2 linked regions of the Kluyveromyces lactis genome follow. The protein of the gene in region 1 interacts with the protein of each later gene in a pairwise test. Links are inferred from orthologs where the notes say so. Each region holds a gene or a part of one and is shown in the gene's direction. Other genes may lie near its edges.

Region 1 (2,742 bases):
TATCAGCAATCCGGTGAGGACTCCAGTTTCCCCGATTTCATATCAAGAATGATATTCAACTATTTGTTCATCTTCAATATCGAATATGCATTGGAGGGATCTAAAGAACTTTTAAAACGGTTTACCAATCACAAGACAGATGTAAAATTTGAGTTAACAGAGAAAGGCCCATATAAGATTGATTATTTCTCATCGTGGGAATCGTTGAACTTTTTACAGTTGTTAATAATCGCATGTCAAACTCAAGAAACTATTCTTTTCCAGAATCTAAAATCACAATACTCAACTCTTGCCAACAAATACAACTCTGAGCTACAATTCTTGGGCCAAGAATACTTCGGTATCAAGGTCGAGAAACCAATCAACTTCTTGCAAGATATGATGTCTGGTTTCTTTGGAGGTAAATAATAATAGTCTTCGGTATAAACATACTCTATGTTATATATAATGCTAACTTTTCTTGATGCTACTTCTATTCAGAGCCTCAATGAGCTCTGGCCTCTTGGCACGGGTCAAGTTTTCTTTGGCCTGTTCGTAGGAGAACCATTGACGGTTTCTTGTCTTCACTTCAGGATAATTGTCCTCCAATTTAACATTAATCATCTCGAAGAAATGGAATTCGGACCTGGGAGGCCATTTGTTAACAGTTTCGTCATTCGAACTCTCGAATGCTTCCAAATCTGGGTTCCAGTCCTTTGGAGGTCTCATATCCTCAATGGAACCAAGTGCTTTCACTATATCGCCTGTGGCACCAGCTTCTTCCCAGGTCTCTCTTCTTGCAGCGGACTCAAAGTCAGGTTCATCACTTTCAATACCACCCTTTGGCAACACCCATCTCTTCTTATGAGCGGATGACTGGACCATTAAGACATTCTCTCGGCTTTCATCCAGTATTATACATCCTGCAACGAGTCTAGCACCAGTGACACTTGAATACAACTGATTCTCACGTCCTACTCTTGAGGTGTCGGTCTTGATAAAGTCTGACATCTTCGGTTCCTTAATACTATATATATAGACTGTTTCTCAGACCGATTTCATCAACAGGGTACACAAGACACATAGCTGTGACTTACCAGCTGTGGTCAGTTTGAAGGATACATGAACGTGCGGCCACGTATGAAATACACGTTGATCGGTGGTTCAATTGTGAATCTGACAGAGACTCTTGTTTCAGGGTAATTATTAAATAATACGTGTTAGGACCGAATCATTAAGCGCAACACCACAGAAGAAACAGCTGGGAAACCGTCTCTGGCAGATACGTTCTTCCATTCTCGTAGCCCTCATATGGTTAGGGCACCATGCTAGTCAGTATGGGGTTCATACTCCCACTTTTTAGCCTTGTATTTGTCCACGTTATTCGATTTAAACTCGTCTTTTCAACATGGAATGAAATCAATCGAATCAAAACCAAGTTTCCATCACTAATGAATGAAACTTCAGCAAATTAGAAAACGTATTGCCCTGTACCAAGCACTGAACGATCTTTCAGTTTTAGCAAGTGATTTACAAGGCAATAGGCACGGGCATGATTCGTTCTACGTTGATTTTCAGAGAAGATGGGTTACCATTGTGTGCCTCAGTGGATGATGACACTGATCCCAGTTTACAAGAGCAAAAGAAGAAGGTGAAGATCCTAATATCAAGATTCACTCCGACGTCAGCAAACGAGGCTACAGTGGAAAGTGGTGATTTCGAGATCCATTATATCAGATTGAACACCGTGGTCTATATTGTGGTCGCAGAAAGGAACTATCCACGTAATTTGGCATTCTCATACTTGGCAGATATACAACAAGAATTCGAACACAGTTACGGGGGACAACTCTCGAAATCGAACGTTAGACCGTATGAGTTCGTATCCTTCGACAACTTCTTACAAAAGACCAAGAAAGTTTACAACGACAAAAGAGTACAGGGGAACATGGACCAATTGAATCAGGATCTAAAAGGTGTCAAACAAATCATGACAAAAAACATCGAAGATCTATTGTACAGAGGTGATTCCTTGGATAAGATGAGTGATATGAGTGCGTCCCTAAGACAAGACGCTAAAAAGTACAGAGCCTCCGCACAAAAGATCAACTTCGACCTATTGATTAGCCAGTACGCGCCAATTGCGATCATAGCATTCTTTTTCGTATTCTTATTGTGGTGGATGTTCTTAAGATGAAGTATTCGCTGTACAGAAGTATCGATACACTTATGTACACTTAAATATGTATATAATTCCACCCTGTATAAACTTCAGCAAAAAAATGTACAAATATTGGCTCAGTATTGCTCTGAATGTGCCCTGACTAACGTATGTCTCATCATCATCAATACGCCTTTTTGCACTTGAACGATTCTTTTCTCAACATGAAAAACCTTTAAAAAGCAGATGATCTTCCTTAAGGGAAGAGGGAAATATCATGTAAGAAAGTAAAGTAAAATAGAGTTTACAAGTCGGTATACAACACGATAGATACATTGAGGTTATTGTAGTACTCGTGAATAGACAATATGGGAGACAATGATGCAGATGCCGTTGATTTCAGAGCTTTGATCGATGAGTTTCGATTTAGCAGGGTCTTGAACTCTAATCCGCAAACCAAGCAAATTTCATTATTAGGTACGATTAAGGGTCAGGATGCTATCGTGACTCTAGAGAAGACACACTTCCAGTTTGATAAAGTGGTGAACAATCCCAATTCGTCTACGTTGTCGTTGCACCAATGTGAATCTGAATATTCTTGT
Region 2 (2,892 bases), on another chromosome or scaffold:
TCCCATGAGGGTTATAGTCAGTTATTTCGAAGTCTTCGTATTTGAAATCGTCGATATCACTGACATTTCTCTTTATCTTCAATTTTGGGAAAGCTCTTGGCTCTCTGGCAATTTGTGTCCTTAATGCATCAACATGATCTTTATAAACATGCGCATCACCCAAAGTGTGAATAAATTCACCAGGTTCCATATCACAGACCATAGCAATCATCTTCGTCAGTAGCGCATACGACGCGATGTTAAAGGGTACTCCTAGACCCATATCACATGATCTCTGATAAAGTACACATGACAATCTTGGTTTGGCACCTTCTCCCTTGGGGAAACTGACGTAAAATTGCGAGAAAACATGGCATGGCGGTAAAGCCATCTTGGGGAAATCCGGAGGGTTCCATGCAGAAAGAATTATTCTTCTGTCGTATGGATTTGTCTTCAACTTATGAATAATCTCCTTCAACTGATCAACACCTTGACCACTATAATCATCATCACATGTCTTATATTCGGCCCCAAAATGTCTCCATTGGAACCCGTAAACTGGTCCTAAATCCCCCTCTCTTCTGTCAGTCAACCCAAGTGAGTCCAGGTACTCACGAGAACCGTTACCTTCCCATATCTTAACGCCTTGTTCTGATAATTTCTTCCCGTCTGTACATCCAGCAACAAACCATAAGAGCTCCAAAATAATACCTTTCGTAAACACTCTCTTCGTAGTGAGAAGCGGGAAAGTATCATTGCTCAAATTAAACCGTAACTGTGGAGGCGCAAAAAGGGAATAAGTCCCTGTACCAGTTCTATCTGGTCTGAATTCTCCCTCATTGATAATCCTTTCACATAAATCCAAATACTGCTGTTCTTCCGCGTTAACAGCCTCAAGCTTAACTCTCTTCACGTTTTCATCGCTCAGCGTCATGGTTGACAAATGTTGGTTGTTTAATGATCCGATAAAACGCCAAAGGAGTCGAAGGATGGTTGAAGTAAGATAGAGTTTAAACTAGAGATGGCCTTTAACTCTTAAAAGCCGTAGTCTGATTCTTAACGCGTTTTCGTGTTGTGGGAATTTTTCAATGGCCGGGTAATGATGGTGAAACAATGTCACGTGCTACCTAAATTCTTAATTCCATCCTCGATGAAGCTTTGGTCTGGCAAACGAATGCGAATCAAATTTAACCAAAGGTTACTTTGGTTAAGGAGGTACCGTTCTACTGGTAATTATACTGTCTATTAACTGTCCAATTAGAGGCAACTATCGTGTGTGTTTACCCTATCTAATCTGGGACTATAAGCGTTCCTTGTTCAAGCTTTTCTATGTTGAGTAAGTGTCAAAAAGAATATATACAAAGAAAGTGACTACCTTAATATGAGTAATAGAACTGAGCTCTTCAAAAAGTACATGCAAGTGATTGCAGAGACTCAGGGAATTGATGATGCTAGGAACGAATTGAATAATACGAAAGCGAGAGAGGATAGAGAAAAGGTGAAGGAAAAGTTTAGTGTAAAGGATACTTTTGTAAAAGAAAGTAAGCAGTTGATGAAACATATTATGGAATTCCAGATAGTGATAAGGCAATTGACTCCCAGGTACGAAAGTGCTACTGACATGACTGATCAGGAGAAAGATGATTTTGATACAGAGAGCAAACTTCAATTACAGCAATATTTCGAGAAATATAAGCAATTGGAATCGTATGAAAGACAGAGACAAGAAATGATGAAAGAAAAGTTAGAGAAATGGTCCGCAACCGTACCATTTTTCTCTAGATCAATTGACGATGTATCCAGTTTCCACAAGGTGAATAATCAATTTCGTATGGGTATATTACAGTCATTGAATATGTGGCTCATGAAGATTTCAGATAGGTTGTCAACCATTCAGCAGACACGATTATCCAGACAAAGACATATCGAAGCCATTGATTTCAATGCTCAATTACACTTACCTGAAGAAATTTCTGTATCACAGTCTCCTATGATAACGACAACTGTTGAAGAAATCAAACAGTACGAGGAAACGATGTCCAAACTCTCTTCAGAACAATTACAAATCTTGGCCACAGAGCATGAAGAACTTCTTAATTTGAAGAACGAAGAATTACAAAAAGCAGAGGCACTACGGAGAACCGCAGTAGATATTGCATCGCTACAGAGTGAATTGGCTACACATTTGCAGGTTCAAACACAAAATATTAATACATTGCTCGATAATCAGACTGACGTGGAGATGGAAATGGAAAAAGGTAACAGACAGTTGAAACAGGCCAACAGGAAAGGAGATAGGCTCGCTAACATGGTCATGTGGTTTGCTATAATTTGTGGACTGCTATTGTTATTCTTCGATTACATAAATTAAGGTTAATTCGTTTCTCTCTGTTGCAATTGCTTACTACACGGTGATACGTAATGGTGTATATATGTACGGTAAGTTTTTAATAATCTAAAGATTTGATCAACGCAGCTCCGATTGTTCTTCCCTCCTTTCTTAGAACCACCCTTCCTAACTTCTTATTTTGCTCGAATGTTAGCATTGGGATTCTTCTTTTTTTCTCCACCAGCTCGATCTCAACTATGGCAGCTTGTTGAGAACCCAAATGCTTCACTTTCTTTTTTAAAACCTTAGATGGATTACTTTTATCGACAGTACAACACAATTTTTTGATTCTACAAGGTTGTTCTGTAGCACCTCTAAAGAGCATGAGCGAGGTACCAGGTAATAACGGTCTATCCAGCCTGAAAGTCAAGAGTCTTGAGGTAAATTCTTGGGAGCTTGGGATATCAAATCCAACGATAGATGCCAAATCACCACCTTGAATATCTTCAGGGAAGGCGTTATGCAACTTCAATTGGACAAAGTCTCCATGTAATGCAATATCCACTTTTTGAGAGTCATTGCCG

The links. The genes of interacting proteins can lie anywhere in the genome.
Region 2: the proteins of SEC22 (region 1) and UFE1 interact in binary tests that used the Saccharomyces cerevisiae proteins (3 or more experiments, as listed by UniProt). The link is inferred for Kluyveromyces lactis from reciprocal best matches to the Saccharomyces cerevisiae genes SEC22 and UFE1.

What each region holds. Positions count from the first base shown.
Region 1 is NC_006042.1:1,885,162-1,887,903, reverse strand, and holds SEC22 (SNAP receptor SEC22), read left to right. Parts: upstream 1-1,531; coding exon 1,532-2,176; downstream 2,177-2,742. Other genes in the region: protein GET4, read left to right, coding at 1-408; polyphosphatase DDP1, read right to left, coding at 451-990; KLLA0_F20229g (uncharacterized protein), read left to right, coding at 2,509-2,742. UniProt on the Saccharomyces cerevisiae protein: Nonessential SNARE involved in targeting and fusion of ER-derived transport vesicles with the Golgi complex as well as Golgi-derived retrograde transport vesicles with the ER.
Region 2 is NC_006037.1:696,647-699,538, reverse strand, and holds UFE1 (Ufe1p), read left to right. Parts: upstream 1-1,360; coding exon 1,361-2,350; downstream 2,351-2,892. Other genes in the region: CDC21 (thymidylate synthase), read right to left, coding at 1-913; ribosome dissociation factor GTPase HBS1, read right to left, coding at 2,427-2,892. UniProt on the Saccharomyces cerevisiae protein: Syntaxin required for targeting and fusion of Golgi-derived retrograde transport vesicles with the ER.